2 linked regions of the Styela clava genome follow. The protein of the gene in region 2 interacts with the protein of the main gene of each other region in a biochemical or structural test. Links are inferred from orthologs where the notes say so. Each region holds a gene or a part of one and is shown on either strand. Other genes may lie near its edges.

Region 1 (11,563 bases), on a different chromosome or scaffold from region 2:
TAAAATCAATAATCTGAAAATCCAGATAATTACAAAGGTAACAAAATGGGACAGATGTGGTATTTCAATGACATGAAGTATGGCACACTTCATATACCACAAGGAGGTGGATTACAAGCTTTAAGCTTGTCTTTTGTAATGTCAAAACCACAATATAAAACTAACCTCACTCATATTTAATTCTTATTTATTGTGAGCTGAAAACAATTATTATAAAGTCATGAGATAGTCTTACCTTTGTTTCCCATATGTCCCATTAGTATTCCCTCTTCCTTCTGCATTGTAAAGTTCAATTCCAAAATGAATTCCCTCTTTGTCATGAATCTCTCCTTTGTATCTTATGATACCTGAAAGAAGTCACACACAATATTTACATACAGGTATTTCCAAACACTGGATTAATATATAATCAATATATAATAGATTAATATAAAAATAAAAAGCACCATCGAGGCATATTTTATTTCTGGATTTTTCTTGTCAGAATTACAAAATATTCAAAAACCTGTGGTGATATATTCGAATACTCATTTATTTAAATATTTCAAATCAGATAAATAACACAAACCATGATATTCTCCTGTGTGATTTGGTAATTTTACAAACACTTGTGTGTCAACATCCATTTCCAAACCCTCTGCTTGCCTCAGTGCATTGTTGGCAATTTCAAGTCGGTCTCTGCAGTTTGGTATTGCGAGAAGTAGATCGTAGACACTCTTAATAAAACCACAAAAACTTCAAACTGTGTTAAACCCAGTCTTGCACCACCCAAATATCAATAAAACCAAAATATCAAACCAAAATAATTTGATTTTCTAAGTAACAAACAAGCCACTGAAACTAATGTTTATGTAATGCCACTAATGTTTATGTAAATTGAATGCAAGAAATAATACATTGTGAAAATCCCACTTGTTTAAGTCAGTATTTCGCTCATGATGTATTTTGCATTAGGTTTTCATACCTCCGAAATTTCTTTCACATCTTTTTTGCTACATTGGAAATAAACTTCAGATTCAGGATTTCTACAAAGTATTTTATTTTTTTCCAAAACATCTTTAGTTGTTTCAACCTCCCTTAATAAAGTTCCTGAGATAATAGAAAATTATTAAATATTCTTTAAAACAATGGGAAGAATGCTACAAACTAGGGACATAAATTCTATATCCATTACAAGACAGATAAAATGTGACACAACTAATTTATATTCAAACAAGGCTCTTGATAAGCGGTCAGTCATATATAGCTAGTATATAATATAGAGTCAGAGTCAAAATGACCGATAGTTTACCAGCATATAAACCAACGAAAGAGCTAAAACGCACAATCAAAATAGGCTAATCAAATTGGTTTTACCTTTAAAATATTGCACTGTATTTGTTTTTTTCAACCTTGTAGTAACTCTTGATTGGTCAGCGTGAGTGATGTACCTATCACTCAATAAAATAAGGGGTTTACCAGCATCACCAGTTCCTCTACTGGGAACGACATAATATCCAAGTTCTGCCATATTTATCTAAAAAATATACGACAAAAACATACAAAAATATTAGACTGAATACATCCAAAGATCAGAAAAACTGAGCTTGTGAACTTTTCCAACTGAGTATATAACATGATATATAATGAAATTCATTAGCCACTGTACAATATAGGACATTTAATATTGATCTAGCATTGTATTATAGAATGCTGTTTCAGCAAAGTAAGTGTTTGTTAGAACAGATAGATTCATTCAAAGATTAGAAACGATACTCCTTGTCCTGCTTCAATTCATTATTTTTTAAATTTATCTACCACTTATTGAAAACCTGCGAACACACCAAAAATTGCTAAAACTGTGTATTGCTATTGCTATGTACTGTAAAAGATTTATTTCACAAATATTCAAAAATCAAACGGGTTTAAACTAAACATCTACAGTTTACCAAATGAATTAATTTTAAGATACAAATTCAAATATTTTAAAATATTAGTCAGCCACATAGTATATTAAACCCGATTACACAGCCTACAGAACTAGCATTTAAATAAATAAATCTCAATTAATGCTATAAAATATATATGATCGATATTACATCATCTAATGTAACATACAATTCACCCTGTCAAGTGATTCACCATATTTTCATGAAGGCCACATCCTCAAGATATCATTATACTGACAGACATATACAAGTCTATAATTGGACCTCTATGTAAGCTCAACAACCTAGAAAAATCCCCATAACACTGGAAGGGAATTTTTCTTGGGCTTTATTATATGTCACGATTTGAGAGAGAAAAGGAGAGAGAAAAAAAAAGAAAAAAGGCCTAGATGAATAGGTCAATGCACGCCAATGGTATATTATATTCATGCCTGGGCCTTTACAAGAAAACTCTCAAGGGAGGAACAAACTTATCAAATATGTTTCAAACAATTTAATACTTCAAACTGACTACAGAAAACCCCAAATGTATACAAGAGGTAAAATATATCACTGGAAAAGTCCCTTTGAAAATCATTCAGAATATCAAATCAACTGCTTTCTCATTTAGGTAACCATAAGTAGATATTTAGAATAAGATTTGAAGAATTTCTGTAGAATGAGAAGTATGTTCATTGGCTTGTTGTGTCGATATATGGGTTCAACATCAAAAAAGGGATTCAGTGGGGTAAGCATCGCCAGACTCTTTTGGGTGCTGGGGTTGTTAACATGAACTCTGCCATATACAGCCACCTTAAGAATCTTATGGAATGTTGAGTAAAGCGGCTGTATGATTAATACAGAATTACCCCATATTCTAGAATCTGTATGCAAGCTTTGTTTGCCACATTACGTTAGGATTAAATGTATGGTCAAAAACTTATAATCCTGTGAAATGTCAATGATTTCACAATAATTTTATAAATTTTGTTGAATCACCACCCCATGATAATTAGGCTATATAATAATTATATAATATGGTGATGAACAACATCAACATCCATATACTTTTTGTTTTCAATAATTATACATAAAAATATTTTTCAAAGTGTGAACCACAGTAGTTGTCTAGTTCTTGTTCGAGTTATCAGGAACCAGACTTGGAAGACAGGAATTGAATATTTATCAAAGGTTATTTCGATTTTCAGAGCAAAAGCACAAGAAAAAATTAAAACAAATAAATTTATACCTGGACAAAATCAATAAAGGTGTGCAGAATATAACAAAATTTTATTTAAGTATAGATGAATTTATTACCAAAAAAATACCTATGCCTGAAAACCCAGTGGCGCAGCCAGAGGGGTTTTCGTGTTCGAAACCCCCTTTTTTGAAATTTTTGAAAGAAAATGTTGCTAATAACATGTGCAGTTGCATTTTGTTGATATCACAAATAGCGACATGCTATTTGGGCCTTGAACACCTTCATTTCTGTATATATTATTATTATACCTAAATCCCAATTTCCGTCAACCGATGGTGATTACTTTTCTATTCTCGAATGGAGAATTGTGAAATAATTGTGAAAAACGAATTATTGTATAATATTCATCAGTGACAGGATGCTTATTAAGATAATAAAGTAAATCCACAAACCAGATTTTTTTAGATTAAAAAGTGGCATTGTAAAATACTAAAGATAATAAAACGGAGGAAAATTTTTATTTAGGAGGCTCACAACAACTTAAAAAAAAACGCTTTTTAAACATTGTTAATCGAAAAATTTGTCTATTATCTAATTATCACATTAGGTCATGTTGACTTTGAGTATGTTATACCAGTCAGGCAGTCACTGAAATCGAAACACATTCAATCGCTCGAACCATGTACCTTCTCATTCATTCTAAAACTACAGACGGGGCCTCACACAACTTTTCCCCGATATGTGATGATATATTACGAATTTACGGTAGATAAGTATATCAATCAAATTTTACTGTACTAAAATAAATTTCACTCTGGGATATTGTCGCAGATATAGAGGTTTTCTGATGGTAATTTCTCAACAAAGAATACGAGAGGAGTCACTGCGATAGAGAGGAGATAGTATTTCAAGAACGGCTTTGATTTATCAAATCTGTTTTACCGTTGATAAGAATCCAAACAAAATATAATCAGACACACTGCCACACATTTTTATGACACGATAATTTGGACTAGAAATGCTTTATATTTTTAGTCAGGGAACAACCGGTTACATGGAACACAATTCAATTATTAAATCAATACATTTTCAATTTGCCTATGAATATTTTGCGCAATTGAGATTTGTACTCTTTGACATCTTAACGCAGACATTGGGATTTTTCTAATGATGATATGCTAAAAATAATCTCATTGAGTTCTAGTCAGTGCTGAAAGAATACCTTAATTAAAGTTAACAAATCCCAAGATCGTAAAAATCCGAATCCAATCTATCCAGTATTTTATATCTGCAGATTGCAGTAGTATTACAGAGTAGTAGTGCTCTTATTTCGGCGCAAATGCAAGTTATGATGAACACATTAAATTAATATAGCGAGACATTTTAAATGGTCGCATCAGTCATGGATTGAATATGTTAGCAGCAGAAAAATCACAACACGCTGGAAAATCAGTTATTTTAAAGAGTAGCGTAATCGCAGCACCATTTCATATTATCACCAAAGCAAATCTTAGAGACCCCCTTCCCAAACCCAAATGCTAACCAATGTCCTGTCACACAATTAAATCATAAATGTAATTACGTGAATATCGGTCGGAGACCGAACACTTATCGATCGAAACTGCGGTTTCGATTCATGACTCTATAGTGACACCGCGTGTCCCATCACTAATTAATTAATAACTCGCTAATTATACGACATATTTCATCCAAAATCAATAGGCTTCTGATCCCAGGGATCGGTAAGTAATTAGCAAGTGCCTGGAAAAAATTAATCCAAGTTGAATATCCTTTCAACTAGCAGTAACTAAAGTTTTTCTTGAAGAAAAAACTTTAGACTTACCCTGTATTGAACTTCTAGCAAATCTAGTAAGGAGGGCTGAGGCAGTTTGCCCTTCAATACATAAGTCAAAAATGTAAGGTTCAATTTCATCTCGAGTCCATTTTGGTCTTGTCTGAAACAAGATGTCAAATCGGGCAGCAGCATCTTGAGGCAAAGTTTCAACAGAAAAATATTGAATAGTTGTTGGATTTGCTGTATTGTCTATTATAGCAAGTCCTTGAAGATATTTCTCATCTGATTTTAATCCATATGGAAGACTCTGGTCCCAAACCTCCAAGAATTCAGTTAGGTTGAATTTTCCGACATCTCGTAAAAGCATTTCTGCAAAAAATCGACAAACTTTCTCTTCCTTTAATTTAAAATACTTTTCACTATTATCATGCATAAAAATCATTGTTCCGTAGAATGCCATTAAATGATGAACTATGTACCCCGGTACTAGTTCACCAGAGTCATTGATTTTTTCGCAAAGCTGTGAAAAAGGAACTTTGAAAATATCCCACGATTCTGAATCGATGACATTGCAAATTGCACCAAGACAGTCAACAATATATCCAAAATCCAATAACCTCCAATATCCATCAATACAAATACATCCCATATTGAACAAGGCACTTGTAAGCTCCCCTTCACTTGCTTGAACAATGTTCAGTAGATCAGTTAAAGTATACTTCATTTTATCAACATTCTCTTCTTCCTTTTCTGGACCTTGGAATAGAGTTTCACCCAGAAGTTGCTTGATCTTGAACAGCTGTGGATGAATGCGTTTCAGTTCTAAGTAATCATGTGACCAGCCTATTATATTTCGATAAAGTAGAAATGGCTTGTCATCAATATTCTCCTGTTCTTCTTCACTTGTACTGCTGTCAGAAGCAACAGATGATTTCTTTTTCGCGGATACAGTGCACTTAGATAATGTGAGCAAAGTATTCGAGGTTCTTGCCTTTTTTAAATCATAAGTACAATCACTAGTACACAATGTGGCAGAATCATCCTCACCTCCACGAATGACAAGTGTTTCACCCTTTGTAATATGTTCAAGAATATCCTTATTTAATTGTATCAAAGTAAATGATTGATCCGAAGAGTCATTTGCAAAATAAAGTGTTTGTGAAGGTCTTGCCAAATCACTCTGATTGAGCTTCGATAATTTTAATGTCTCTATGACGTCGTCTTCGCTTCTGCAACAAGTATCTTGCATATTTTCTATTAATATTTCATAGAATAGACAACTGAATAACCTTCTGTAATACATAAACATTGTTAATATCAGACTAGGGCTAATAGCCGCATCACCACCAACGAGTTATTTCTTAAAATATTTCGCTCATTCATTCATTTCATAATGATCATAATATGTACAATGTGTTACAGTGTTAAGTCAAACAAACTCTTTTTCCATATGAAATTGATAACCTCCTATTCATCCAACCTGACCCCCTATGTTTTTATTTAGTCTATTTTAGCCTACCGTACTATTTAGTCTATTTTTTCTACCACAATTTCATTAACTACAGAATTGGGTATTGATTTTAGTAGTTTTTCAACCGGTTGTAAATAATTCGATGACCTCCAGACCTCAAAGTCACATCATTACTAGGGATGGGCCGAGATTCAGATCCGGACTCGGATTCGAGTCGAATTCACACATTTTTTGGACTCGGATTAGATTGAGTCCACGTCATTTTTACCGAGTCTATAATCAATTCTGTTTTTACTAATTCGCGCCTATGTTTGTACTTTTACCTCTATAAATCTCAGTACATACCCTAACTGGTTAATTAAAATTCGTTGTTAGATCTGTAACAATATTCCTCGTATGTAATATACCGGTAAACACTCTTAATAAAAACGACGACAGATATCCAGATAATATAACGCATGTTGAAAACTATTGATCGCTTATACCTTATAACAGGGATGGCGAACCACTGACCCGCGGGTCACAAATAGACCCACCGCGTTTTGTCGGTGACCTGCCAAGGCACGAATGAAATAAAAACATACTAACTTGTAAGTGATAAAAATTGATAAAACCGGCTTCAAACAAATTTAACAGTAAGTAAACTACATAATGTAACGTCAGTTGGGCAGTCCGACATGCGAACGCTCAAATTCAAATTTCCGGATCGGTGTGGTAATTTTCAGAACTCCCAATCTTGGATGCACATGTTCACCCTTGTATACGGTACCTTTAAGCAGCTATTGGCTGTGATATCGTTTATGACAAAACAATCAATTCGATCTGTTCATTTCTCGCAACGTCTCGTTACAGCAGTGGTTCTCAACCTGTGGTACGCGGGGGCTTTTCAAGTGGTACGCTTTGAATTATTGCAATAACCGACTTTTGAGGTGGCTAAAATATGGCAGACACACTTTCTATTTATCTTCCATTACTGAATGTATTCGCTGAATAGTTTATAGCGTTACCAGTCCTTCTCTTTAATGAGCGCTCTCGCCCGCTACTGCCCACCTAAAAAGAAACGAGACGGGCATATTTTCGACCGTTTTACGTGTTACGTCCACAATGCATCACCATTGAGAAATTGGCAACGAAGGGAGCATTCGGACTTCGGAGGGGTGCTCGACGCGTGTCGGAATACCCTGATAGCGCCTAGATACATCATAAATATGTTACTATTACTGACTGATGTATGTGTTGGCTGATCGGCATAATCTTGACTTTTGAGTCCAAATAATTTGAAGACTAGGTTAGGCAGTTCCGCATAGCGGCTAGAGCCGACCGAAGTGTATTTGTCCGAGTTTTGCGATAATTCAGTGGTGACGATGATTAGAGCCGACGATAAACGACGCAAATTCTCTTGTGATTTTGCACACAATTATTACGTTGTTACTGCATATAATTAATACGTTGAAACTGTGCACGAAGCTCTAAAAATGGATGTAGTGCCACATAAAATACTACCATAGAGCGTTTCTTGTGCCATTGTTCCCCGCCACAAAAGCGGTTTTGTCGGTGATATGCGGCCATGGTAAAAACACAAAAGTGGTACGCGGTCAATAAAAAGTTGAGAACCACTGTGTTACAGCGTTCATTCAGATGAACTGAAAAGGCACTGCAGACTGTTTAGTTTAGGGTATACGAAAACTAGATGCTACTTTGCATTCATCAGTTTCTCGCCTACAATGTCGTGGAGGAAACAAAATCTGTTAGACTCAAAATGAGGACCTAGAAATCTGAAACAACAATGGGGCAGTGTGAAAGTACCTTAATCTGGTTGAAAGCCAATCGAAAAATAGAACTCTATCAGAGTGGAATTCCCTCCAAACTCTTTGGCGCGCAAAATAATTTGCCGCATCATTCTAAACGTTTTTGGGTAATTCATAATATGCGTGTTTTTGTACACGAATTTCATAAAATCGAGTGTCATTAACAGTCCAGTAGTCTCTGGTTGAAGTGCTGCATAAATAAAGCCCGAAGCTACACAACACCAACCGAAGCTTATAAGATTTGAAAGATAGGATGCAGCAGCAAGTTCCTTATAGATAATAACATTGATTAACTTATTGTCACCCACACTCTTCTGTTCCGTGATAAAAATATAATTTTTGACCCATTCGTCGAAATAGCTTCGCCATCCCTGCCTAAGTTTACAGCTAGAAGTATCTGAAATTATGGGGAAGCATTGCAGTCAAAAAAATTTTATTTTTCATATTGACATGTAAGAATTGCTAAATAGCAGCCCAGAATTAACGGAAGGTGATGGGCTAGAAATCTAGTTCACAACCAAGGCGCATATTGACCCACGTTCACGTTTGTATTGTGGCCGCTAAAAAGGAGGAAAATATATTTCTAAAATGATTCAACAGCTATCTGCGGAACTATTAGGTAAAAAATACGAGCTACGACCAGTGGCGTAGCCAGCCCAAAATTTTGGGGGGGGCCAAATTTGAAAATTTTAGAAATTATATTGGGTTTAAAACACCCGTTCTTCAAGCGCAAAACAACAACAGTTGGTCAACAAGCAAACTGATTCAATTACTCAGCTGGATTTTTGTGAATACAAAATCCATTAATAAACGATTTTTTATTTGAAACAACAAATATTAACAACGCAATTTAAATAAGTAAAATACATCGCCCCGATTAAAAGTCCATCCTTCGCTTCCCGCTAACTATGCTCGACACAACTCGATTAATTTTCTCCTCGGTGACCATTTCACGGTGACAGTGAAGCACACACAAATCAGAAAGGCGATTGGACGTCATTGATGAGCGCAGCCATGTCTTTACCCGTTTCATGCAGGAGAAAGACCGCTCAGCCTCAACGGTGGTTGCTGGTAGCGTCATAACGATCTGTATTGCGGTGTACACGCTTGGATAATCTCGAGCGCTCAAAAGAAGCCCCTCCAAACATTCGTCGTTAACGTCGGAACTTAAAGAAGTTCTCCACAGTCTCACTTCATTCTGGAGGTTATCCAATAAATACAGATGCTCTACCTCATCCACGTGAACTGGTTTGTTCGGTGGAAGAATTGATAGCAATGAAAAAAATGACGGGTTGTCAATGAAGCGTTCCCGAATAGAGCAGCTCAAGCCGTCGACGTATGGGAGATATACGGAACGTTTAAAGTACTGGGATGCTGAATCAGCACAGACATTGTCGCGATACACTTGTACTTCGACTACTCTGGGTATTGTCAACTCTTTCAAGCCAGCTATTTCACAAGCTTCTTTGTAAATATTCAATGCGATTTCAGAGTCATTGCGTTCTTCAGCGATAACGCTCTGAAGAGAGGATGTGAGGTTCTTTACTGACGGCACACTGACTCCGATCGCCTGAAGTGCGCGCGCTAGTGGCTCCATTAGTGCCGAATATCGACCAATCAAACATACGGCGTAGATAACCGACGACTTTTCTAGAGCAGATTTCAGAGAAAAAGCCTTCGCCCGCGTCTCACCGTTAGCATCTCTCGCCAAAGAATCAAGAGCCTCAAGTACTCGTTTGAAGTTGCATTTGAAGATTCGGATGCTCTTGTACTTCTCAGACCATCTGGTGGGGCAGAACAAAGGGATGTTAATTCCTAAACCCGCGCGCCTTTTAGGGCTCTCCCTGAAAAAACGAATAGTCTCACGAATGATATCACAGGTGCTTCTGATGATTGCAACTTTACTTTGGTCATTTATGACCAAACTCAAACAATGAGAAGCGCAGTGCACAAATATTGCGCGCGGGTATTTATCACGAATGCGTTTTTGCACACCGCTGACGTGACCTGCCATTGTCGTTGCACCATCATAGCCTTGCCCCACAAGTTTTTGCAAATCCACTCCTATACCAGAGAGGTGGGTCAAAATATTTGAGGAAATTGATTCGGCAGAAACAGAATCCATTTCCACTAATCCTGTGAAGCGCTCGCACACTTCACCACCTTTCACATACCTCAAAACGATGCTTAGTTGTTCTTTCCCAGAAATATCACATGATTCGTCGGCTATTACGGACACAAACGATTTATTAGCCTCCATAACGATATCTTGCACTATCATGTTGCTTGCTACCTTGAGAATTTCATTTTGTATCATCGGGCTTGTATACTTAGCGTTTCCGGCCATTCGAGCGAAATGCCTTTTCAAATCTTCATCCCCTGCGTCGATACGAAATAGAAGAAGGTTCACAAAATTTCCACTATCCCCGGAATGTCCGCGCAAGGATATGTTACCCGAAGCACAGAACATGACAGTCTTGACAATGGAAGTCATTATTCGTCTGTTTTCTTTTGTTTGCGTAGCATATTGGGCCTCCATGTTTGCACGCACATTTTGACCAGTTTCCATGCTTTTGACAAAATTTTTCGCAGCTATATTTGATTCTCGGTGGTAATTTGTGTCTCGATGTGCTACAGCCTTTTCCATAAATTTTTTGTAGTCGATGCATGGTCTTGTAACAAAGGCAGTGTCCCTGAGAGTTCCATGCTTCAAACGTGCTTGCATGACTATGCATATCTTACACAAACCACCCCCATCAGAGTGTTGGGTGTAAACTAACCAACTGCAAAATCTGTTATCGTCAAGCCATTTTTTGAGAAATTTACGACGACTTTGTCTAACAGTATCCAGAATCGTCACGTTTTTCGGACCATCCGAAGTTAGAAGCCTGTATCTCTCCGCATCGGTAAGCTGTGTATGTTTCTTAAGAACAAATCCAAGATCGTTTGTTTTGCCTTCGTTGATTATTAGTTCATCTTCGGGAATAGAAGTGATAGACGTAACTGACGTAACCGGTGCATCCACAGCCTGAGAAGCGCTTATTGATGTATATGAGGAAAGCGAGTCTTCATTTCGCTGGAAAAAACTATCTAATTTCGCCTGTTTAAATTTAGCGATCGAAGTAATTTGGTCATCAAAATTCAAGCGTTTCGAATAAAAATCCGGCGAGAACAAATCAAGACCGAGCAACTGACCGAAAGCTTGCGAAACAGTCTTTCCCGTACTGCTCATAAGAGCGACCGGTCAAGTCTTTGTGACGTAACAATGACAATCAACAAGCGTGACGAGACAAGATGCCACAAAACTGGTGGATTAGGAATGGAATTCTTGAAAATTTTGGGGGGGGCCATGGCCCCTCTGCCCCCCCCCCCCCCCCCCCT
Region 2 (10,817 bases):
ACAATACAACAACAATATAGCACAACCATTGAGATAAAAACCTGGTTTGTTTTCAGGCAGGGGATAACTTGTCCCATATTTCTTCCTTTCCGTATTGGTCGACAACTTCGTTCAATCGCGCGATTTTTTATTTCCAAATTATCGACCCAAAATGTGGTCTCGCCATATTTTCAATTATTTATTATCAGTGCAACGTCTCAATGCCTTGACCAAAGTATGGTTTTTATTGAAGCTACTGTCGAACTTTCTAAACAAAGACAGTTATATTTTCGAATTACAATGTTTCAAGTAAAAAATTATCAAAATCAATAAAAAGCTCAAATCTGGTGATTTATATCCACTTTTACAGATTTTTCATGTATTTCACGTCAGATAGGACCCAACAACTTTCCAAATTATACACAAACACCACGCGCAACCCGATAAAGGGGTTTGGAAAGTTAATATCATTTATTAAATATAATTATACCTTAAAGTAGCAGTATACCAAAATAATTCATATTCCTAACAAAAGTTGTTTCCTCGGTCGATTACGACAGGGTTTCTCGAAATTTCATTAACTGCCTTCATGCAATTTAGTACGCGAACGTAAATCTCGAACCAAAAACAACCTCCACAATCCATCACAGACCACGCTTGGGAAAGGTGTAGCTTCACTGATATTATTAAGTAAAATAAGAGCGATCCAATAAGCAACATAATTTCGTAAAAAACTCTCGATAGATGAAATGCGTCCCCGCTCCGACATGAATGCCTAAATCAAAGTTTGAGGCGAATATAGATCAGCTAATGTTATTTGTTCATGCTACCCTCTAACTCTTTCTTCTGTCGAAGCTCGCAAATGTAAAAGGGGAGACAACAAACTGAAATTGCTAATCGAAGAACAGGAAAAGGCATTATGCGTGCGTGCGTGTCCTTATCATTTATTTAGTAGGTGCAATAAGAGTCGAGAAACTACGACTCGATTTATTAAGGCTTCAATGCATGGTAGGAAAGACGCCTTGTCGGACCAGCCTGCACACAAATACCGAAAGTGAACATATTCTATAAGAATAACATAATCTCGTTACACGAAATAGCAAGCACATTTGTAAGCTTTCGTTAGATCATAGACTAACTTCTTCACACAAAACAAGATTATAATTTATAAGTTTATTGAACAGCGAATAATCATTCGCATACGGATCAGAAGTAGGAAGTAGACAAGGAGAAAGAACCTGCAGTTCAATAAACAATATCCTAATGCTTACCATAAACATATTCTGTAAAAAATTTCCGATAATAGAGCCTAGCAGACAAAAATTGATCAAGTGTTAGATTGGCAGTTACGTGTGCCGAATTAAAAACTACAAGTTTGTTTTAGAACGCAACTTTTTCCGGGAGGCCTCATATATAGAACAATTTGTCCGTGCCAGAGGCGTGCAACTTGCGGACCGCGGACTTGTTCATCTGACACGATGAACAACACACGTCATTGCTATATTTCGCTACGTCACACTGCGATGAAATTTCGTCTAGACAAACAGTAAAACGTCTTCCCGTTGCCGAGCACATCCGTTATTTCGTTGTCAATTCCAAGTGGTCTTTTTCGGTTTTTGCTTTAAATTTCTGTCATATATATCTAAAATTCCATATTCGGACGAGCTAGCCTCTTCAAATAACATTTACATAATGCAATATCTAACTTAGTCCTGAATACAGGGTTAATTTAAGTAACTACATAACTGTATACCAAGTAGAGCTAGTCATTACTGGAATACAGAGCGACAGAAAAGTTTAGCTTGGTAATTTAGTTCCCAAATGGAGTCAAATGTGTTTATAATCATGAAATTGTCTGAAAAGGTTATTTTTTATTATAAACTGGTATGGCTCTGTGGGCATACACTGACTAATTTTCATAGTGTTAGCTTTACATTGAGTTCATAATTTTCTGTTTAGATAACTTTTAGATAACTTTTCGAGGGAAATCTTCAAACGTTTTTCTGCGATTTGTCAGGTGTTGTTATAACGATGAAATAGAATCGGCACTTTGTTTGTTATCTGTGCGAGCGCGTTTTGCAAGGCTTCCACTTACCGTTATTTACGTATTCATTACCAGCTACGTCGAAAAATTGAGAATTACCGTAAAGCCGCAATTATTAATCAAACGCACTCACATTTAGAAATCCGTACCATAAAGGGTTTACTTCAGCCAAACACTCCGGTCCTGCACTTCGAGAACGGAATTGAAATCAAAATTTGATTGTGTCCTTTTATATGGATCGTGTTAGACACAATTTAGTATATTTCTTGAAAACTATTGATCAAATAAACGGAAAGTAATATTGAACATGGTGACGGTTCACGCGTCTGGCATAGATCCAACCAAGGTCAGATATTAAATAAGTTGTGTTCATAAATTGTCGCATGTTGAAAAACAAACTGATTTATTCGAAAGAAAAATAACTATCTCCCGTTTTTCCGCAAATATTTTTGATAATAATAGTTAGAAGAATCGACTTTTTTAGGGTATGATTTTCTGTTGCGCAAACAATCCAACGTGTGGCTGATACCACGATTTAAAATGCCTTGCCGTATTAATTCTGTTTAACGTAACTCACGGTTGCGTCGACTTACGATAAATATCTAAAGTTTAAATACCACGACAATCTGCGGACATAAAATGTGTGGTAAAGTACCACAGCAATGACATGAAACGTGTGGGAACCTGGCCTATAATTAATTTTTGATTCGTATTTTTGCGATCTTGCGGAGTCGTTATCGCCGTTAAAAATACCAAGATCCGCAAAAGAATCGCAAAGAATACTACCGGTATTTATTTTAGTAAAATATTAATTTGATTAAATAGGCTATACATTAGTTAGCTTATATTCTTATATTCATCATAATCGGGAAAAAAGTGGGATGTGGCACAACGGTAATTTAACAAAAGATAAGAAGGTAGATCGCGAGCACAATTCACTGTTTCAACTTCGATGACTATTAACTATATTTCAAAATTTTTCAACATATCATAATGTGTGGCGTAGACACATGAAATTATCGTTTTTATTTGTCAAGGTGCTACTATAACAAAAGTTATGGTGCTTTTCGTGTACTGATGATTTTAACTAATAGCAACAATCTATTAAAAATTGAACATATCTGGTGGTATTTTCCAATTTTCTTACAGAAATTTTAATGTGATGTCTTCTTTGTCAAAAATTCAACACTTGGTGAAATTCAAACACCCTCATTTCAGATTCATTTATGTATACTTGGTTCAAATCTTCTACTTGTCTTTAGGAATCTTTCACTTATATGTAGATTATGAATTAATAAGGTGTCATTTACGCAAATATTATTAAAACCCATAGCTCCCTACGATTTCTCACGCCCAATGATCAGAAAGCAATGAAAAGTGCTATCATAGAGAAATACATCCAAGCATACAACATCTATGACGATTTGAGTTTTCGATGAAGTGTACTGGAATTTCAAGGAGTAAGGTGACAGTTATTGGCAAATCCACTGAAACTTATATCTGCACAAAGCTACACACAGCTAAGCTATTTTATGAGTTGTTTAAGAATGTGAGTTTGTATATCTGAAACGAACTAGTTGCGGTAGTTATTTTTGCATATTTAGTAGGCTGGATTTGGGAAAGGTTTAATGATGTACAACTGTTTCAGAGGACGTTCCTCAAACTCTTGGAAAAGCTCCACCAAACCCTAGGCCCTAGGGGTACGATTGTACCCATATTAAGAAACATGATATATATATATAGGAAAGAAAAAACATCTAATGAAAATCTTAACTATTGCGTGTCATATTTATGTCATCTAGTGAAGCCATTGGGTGATGCCTTTTGAACATGGAAGCCCAAAAGAGCTTGATTTTAAAAAATAAATTGAATAACATTATCTGATAAAGATATGAAGTAGTGAATTAGGTGTTAAGGAAGCAGACATCTGATTGCAGTGTACTAATTATTACATATTACCGGTAATGTCAACATGTATGTCCTGACTCAATATTTTGTCATCTGTTGGAGAGCTATGGAAACTAATGTCGCAGTCAATTCGGCTACCGAACGTTTGCACTTTATCAAGATTTAGGTAGAAAAATGATTTTACAAAATTCGAACTAGTTTTTATCAAGTTCAGTTTTTCACATTTTTTAAATATTTTAAATATGTTATTGTAACGAAAGTAGAAAGGTTTCAATTTCACGCCTTGACCTTCGGTCTGATGTATAGCAAAAGAAGGCAAAACTATTGTACATTTATATTATAACAAAATCATTATTTCATATATTACCTGATCACCCCATTTCCAGTCCGGCCCACGAATAACACGGTATCCGACTTCGACCATGTTACCAGATATTGCACATTGAAGAAAGCTAGTTGATGAATTTATATTTGATGAGTCAAAAAATTTTTCTTCATTGAGAAATTTTGGAAAACAAGAAAAATCACAGCCCATATCACTAGTTGACTATGATATTCGCTAAAACAGCTTCATATGAAATATATATTATATATCCAGTAGATCTGAAACAACATATATAGACATATTTCAGTATTTTTTTTTATATAAGCTAATACTGTAATACCTGTATGTCTTCGCCCTTTTTTAGGGAAAATTAGAATTAGTTTTACCCTCAACAATTTAGTGATGGAATACCACCAGCAACATTTTTGCAAATGTATTTATTATGGCAGTATGGAGGTGCTAACTGCAAATCTCTTACTGCAGTACTGCTGTACTGTCTTACAGGATACAGATAAAGTTCAAATCAGAAAACTAGGCTATAAAATGCCACCTTCAAACAGGTCACAGAAAACTGTATTAACTCAGAATCGAGAAGTTTAAAAGTACCGGTACCGGTATGCTATGCTTTTCAAAAAGAAATATTTGGAACAGAAATCCTTGGATTTTTTGGAGAACTCAGTTTACAGTTTGAGGAATGTGATTAATAGTGTACAGTACCAGTATCGGTAGCTTATATGTGTATATTGGAATGCATTACGGCTTCCTCCACCATAAATTCCCTGCATCTGCAACAAATACGGTACCGTACCGGTAACTGGCTAACTAATCTCATACCGGTACCGGTACGGTAACCGAACAGCAGGACGAGACACCGTGGTTTGCCAAACGATTAAGGCATCTTATCGACTTTCCTTTCCCCGGTAGTCTATAATCATGTAAATGCTATCTATGTCGCTGCGTGTGATATTATACGGTACGGTACCGTACTGGTGTAAATTCAGAAATTGCTCAAGCACTTTTTTTTTTTTTTTTTTTTTTTTTTTTTTTTTATAATATATATTGAAAAATAACAAATAAAATAATATCAAAAAGAATTACCAACAGTACATTATTAATATGTTAAACATGTTTTTCATGGTTGTTCCAAGGAAGAATTCATCACCGTTCATTTTTTCCATAATTCCATTTTTTCATAATCATCATTTATAAGATTACAATTATTTTTAAGATAAAGCATGTAAATAAAAGTTTTTCCAATTATTATTTATCTAATAAGTACATACACTTGTATAGACATACATACACTTGTATAGACATTTGTATCAAATATATTCATTCCTTTTTTTTTTTTTTTTTTTATTTATAAAAACAGTCAATATTATCAATACTAGTCAATCTTAAAAATGTACTATCAAAAGCTATGACATTACCGACTTTTCTAACAAGTTTTCAATTCTTCCATCCTCCAAAAAGCTATTTTTCATATTTGATGCCATATTTTTCAGCATCCCTCTAATTTTACATTTAAAAATTATTCTCATAACTGATTGGAAATTATCCAAATCTTCAAATATTATTTGATTCCTGAATTCCCAAATAGCTGCCTTTCCACATGCAACTATCATAATAACTGACAGGTCACATGTATTTTGTGCAAGCACCATTGACAACATAAGCCAGCAAGGACTTTTTACGCAGTTGAGGGTATTCCCCAAAAAGAAAACAACAGTGCGGAAAGAAACGTCAGTGCGGAAATGACAGGAGTCTGCATTTCTATATCGGAGTCCGGAGAGTATTCATTTAAAAACAAGGCCACTTAACAAGTATCAGATATTAAAAATAGTCATGATAATACAAATAAACAATATACTTAATCTCATATACCTATATGTCGTTCTGGGATTACGTCTTTTGTCATTATATTCATATTTTTTACTCTCATTCATTTGCATCTTTATCTAAAAGTTTTTTCAATCAATCAATCATTTTATTTCGGCTCTCTGACTAAAACGGAACAATACAAAAAAGTAAACAGACAACAAATACAGAAATACCTGATAGGCGAGCATAACTTAAAATAAAGTTAAAAAACGTACAAGTACGTGCCCACCCAACAAAAAAAAAAAAAACCTAGCCTATATCGCTTCACCTAGCCTATATCGCTGAAAAGACAAATAGGAAATTTGAATTAATCTAAGACCTTTTTTATTTTAAATTGAATTGCTTTTCGAGTTCTCCCGGAATATGATGAGTACCCGACGTTATATGATAAAACATTATTTGCGATTAATTTAGATCAAATTTTACTTTCCAAGACACCCGGTTTCCGAAAATACGAAGTTATAACGCAAAACAATGCGTTTTCTTACATTAATTTTGCGATCCCAATAAAATACATCTGCTGTATCTGTCGAGTGTCGGGCGGTATTTTAGACGGTATACGGAACAAGTGTGACAAAAGCATGACATCTATGAGAAGAGCAGGAAAAGTGTGAGAAAATAATGGCAAGTGTGTGGCAAACAGGACAAGCGTGATAACAAGAAGGACAAGTTTGATCCAAGCAGGACTAGTGTGGGGCAAGCAGAACTAGTGTGAGACAAGCACTACAAGTCCAGGATAATTAGGACAATTAATTGTAATATAAGAGAAAAGTGTGGCACAAACAGGACAATTTTGAGGCAAACAGGACAGATGTCGGGAAGATAGGACCAATGTGATACGAGTGGGAAACAAGCCGGACAAGTGTGATATGAGCAGGAAAAGAGTGAGAAATTTACATGACAACCAAGAGAAATTTATGTCACTCAGGACAATCGCGGTAAAGGCAAGACAAGTGTGGACCAAAAGTCAAATCTGAGTAAAAAAAAAGTTGAGGGGAAAACAGGACACGTATGGGACAAGAGAGACAAATGTGAGAAAAGCAAGACGAATGTGATACAAGCTGGACAACTGTGAGAAAAGCAGAACAAGTGTGGGATGAACAGGTCGAGTGTGACACAAGCAGGACAACTGTAGAAAAATCAAGTCAAGTGTGTCACAAACACTATGAGTTGGATAAAATCATTACAAGGTATGGGACAAGTTGTGAGGAAAGCACGACATGTGTGATACACGCAGAACAAGTATATGGCAAGCAGCGCAAGTTTCAATTAGGACTATTTTAAGACAAGCAGGAAAAGTATGGGACACAAAGATTAACATTGATGCAAAAATGACAAGTGTGATACATGTGTGTGGGACAAGCAGAAAAGTGCAAAAATTGCAGGAGATGTGTGAGACAAGCAAGAAAGTATAAAAAAAGTGTGATACAAGCTGGGCAATTGTGACAAAAAGCACGACAAGTTTGTTCAAACAAGTTTGAGGTAAGCAGTGGGAGTGGGAGTCAGGAAATCGAGATACAAGCATGGCAAGACTAGGACTGAATCAAGTATGGGAGAGGCGGGGGGAAATGGCACAAACAGGACAAATATGCGACAAGCAGGACAAGTGTGAGACGAGCAGCACAATTGTGGGATAAGCAGAACTTGCGAGAGACAACAAGGAACAATGTGTTACCACCAGGACAATTATGGGACATGCAAGACAAGTGTCATTTAAGAAGAATAAGTTTGAGACAAACAGGAAATGTGTGGAACAAAGAGAAAAATTGTGATACAAGGAGGACAATTTTGTGATATGCAGGAAGAGTGTGAGACAATTCGGACATGTGTTCTACATGCAGGATAAATGTATTACAAACAGCACACAAGAGTCGGACGGACAGGACAACTTTAGGAATAGCGAAACAGGTGTGGGACAAACAGAAAAATTGTTGGACAAGTAGGACAAATGTAATACAAACAATACAAGTGTGGAAAGAGCATCCCACGTGTTGAACAAGCACGGAAAGTGTGGGGCAATTACGAGAAGTATGGGACACGCAGGACAAGTGTGAGACAAGCAAGACAAGTGTGGCGCAAGTAGGACAAGTGTAAGATGAGCAGGGCAAGTGTAGGACAAGTAGGAAAAGTGTGGGACAAGTATTACCAAGCAGGCGGAATGTTAGTTAGACAAGTTTAATACAAGTAGGACTATTGTGAGATGAGCAGGACAAAAGTATTACAAACAGAAAAAATGACGAGGCAGCAGGACAAATTTGGGACAAGCAGGAAAGTGTGAGTCAGGCAAAGCTAGTGAAGGACAAGCGTGGGACAAGCAGTGCTAGTGAAAGACAAGCTGGATAAGTGTCAGACATGCAGTACAAGAGTGATTCGAGTATGGTAAATGTGGGATAATAAGGGTAATTGTGAGGCAAGAAAAGCAAGTTGGTTTCAACTAGGTCTAATTTGAGAGAGTAAAAAGTGCGGAAAACGGTACACCTGCGAGACAAGGAGGATAAGTGTGAAATAAGCAGAACAATTGTGAAACAAGCAGAAAAGTGTGGAACACGTATAGACAGATGTAAACAGATGTAACACAAGAAGGACTAGTGTGAGAAAAGTTGGACAAGTGTGGTACAAAAGGACAAGTGGCAGGCCAGTTGGAGCAGTGTGTATCAAACATTACAAGTGTGAGACAGTAGGACAAGTGTGAAACGAGCAGAAAAAGTGTGACAAATGCAGGACAAGTGTGAGACAACAGGGTCAAGAGTGGGACAAGTAGGAAAAGTGTTGGACAAGCAGAAAAGTTATTAGACAACCAGGATAAGTGTATTCTAAGCACGACAAATGTGAGATGAGCAAGGCAAGTGCTACACAAGCTTGAGAAACCTAATACGAAGAGGACAAGTTTGAGAAAAACAAGGCAAATATCAAACTAGCAGGACAAATTTGGGACAAGCAGGACAAGTATTAGACAAACAGGGTAAGTGTATTCCAAGCCGGGTAAGTGTGAAATTAGCAGGGCAAGTATTATACAAGCTGAATAGCCTACAAGGAGGACAAATGTGAGATGAGCAGAACAAATGTTAGAGAAGCAGGATAAAAATAATACGAACAGGAAAAGGGAAAAACGAGCAGACCAAATTTGGGACAAGCAAACAAGTGTGGGACCAGCTTGAAAAGTGTGAGACCGGTAAGGCCATTGAAGGACAAGCGTGAGACCGGCAGGTATAATAAAGGATAAACAGGATAATTGTCAGACATGCAGTTCACGAGTGATTCGAGTATGGCAAATGTGGGATAATCAGAGAAAATTTGAGGCAAGCAAGACAAGTTTGTTTCAACTAGAAGCATGACAAGTTTAATACACGGAGGACAAGTTTGACATGAACAAGAAAAATGTTAGGCAAGCATGACAAAAGTATAACATACATATAACAGCACAATTGTCGAACAAGCAAGACAAGAGTGAGGAAAAGCAAACAAGTGTGGCACAAGCAGGATAAGTATGAGACACGTGGGACTTGTAAAGAACAAGAACGATAAGTGTCATATATGTAAAACAAGAGTGATTCAAATATTATATATGCGTGAAACAAGAAGGACAAGTGTAAAAGAACTAAAGAAGCAGGAAAAGTGTGGAACAATCAGGAAAAGTTTGGGACAAGCAGGTCAAGGGTGGGACAAGTAGGAAAAGTGTTGGACTAGCAGAAAAATTATTAGACAACCATGATAAGTGTATTACACGCAGGACAAAGGGGAGATGAGCAGGGCAAAAGTATTACGAACAGGACCATTATCGATTGAGCAAGATAAATTTGGGACAAGCAAGACAAGTATTAGACAAGCAGTGCAAGTGTATCCCAAGTCAAAAAAATGTGAGATGAACAGAACAAGTGACAAAGGAGCAGGCAAATTTGGGACAAGAAAGTCAAATGTGGCACAAACAGGAAACGTGTTATACAAGCAGGGCAAGTGTTATTCAACCAAGACAAGTGTGAAATGAGCAAGGCAAATGACTGACAAGCAGCACAATTGTAACACAAGCGGAACTAGTGTGGAAAAATTTGACCAGGGTGGTAACGAACAGTATGAGTGTGAGACAAGCAGGAAAAGTGTTAGACAATCAGAACAAGTTAGGGACAGCTGGACAAGTGTTAGACAAGCAGGGCAATTGTTATCCAATCAGGACAAGTGTGAGGTAAGCAGGGCAAGTGTATTCCAAGCACGACCATTGTGAGATGAGCGGTGAAAATGTATTAAAACATGAAAAGTGTAATACAAGAAGGAGAAGTGTGAGATGAGCAGAACGAATGCTAGGCAAGCAGTATGTGTGTAAACAAAAAAACAGGTTTTCACAAGCATTACTAGTATGGGATAAGCTCGACAAGTGGGGTACAAAAGAAGAAGTGGGAGTCAACTCGAACAAGTGTGGATCAAACTGTACAAGTGTAAGACAATCAGGACAAGTGTGGAATGAGCAGGACAGGTGTGAGGCTAAGAGACATGTGTGGCACAAGCAAAACCAGCGTGGGACTAACAACTCAAGTGTTAGACAAGCACGACAAGTGTAATACAAACAGGACAATTTAGGGAATGGGAGGAAAAGTGTGAGACGAGCAGTACAAGTGTTAGACCAGCAATACAATTGTCGTAGAAGCAGTACAAGTGTCAGACAAGCAGGGAAAGTGTAATACAAAA

What was found.
Region 1: of the proteins of E3 ubiquitin-protein ligase MIB2-like (region 2) and ubiquitin carboxyl-terminal hydrolase CYLD-like, one has a biochemical effect on the other in vitro, tested with the Homo sapiens proteins (2 studies listed by BioGRID, with this or other methods). The link is inferred for Styela clava from reciprocal best matches to the Homo sapiens genes MIB2 and CYLD.

What each region holds. Positions count from the first base shown.
Region 1 is NC_135262.1:20,141,371-20,152,933, reverse strand, and holds the start of ubiquitin carboxyl-terminal hydrolase CYLD-like, read right to left. Parts: upstream 5,231-11,563; 5' UTR 5,096-5,230; coding exon 4,952-5,095; intron 1,517-4,951; coding exon 1,357-1,516; intron 1,090-1,356; coding exon 965-1,089; intron 717-964; coding exon 569-716; intron 348-568; coding exon 236-347; intron 1-235. UniProt on the Homo sapiens protein: Deubiquitinase that specifically cleaves 'Lys-63'- and linear 'Met-1'-linked polyubiquitin chains and is involved in NF-kappa-B activation and TNF-alpha-induced necroptosis.
Region 2 is NC_135256.1:23,185,649-23,196,465, reverse strand, and holds the start of E3 ubiquitin-protein ligase MIB2-like, read right to left. Parts: upstream 4,538-10,817; 5' UTR 4,467-4,537; coding exon 4,299-4,466; intron 267-4,298; exon of another isoform or gene 78-266; coding exon of another isoform or gene 42-77; intron 1-41. UniProt on the Homo sapiens protein: E3 ubiquitin-protein ligase that mediates ubiquitination of Delta receptors, which act as ligands of Notch proteins.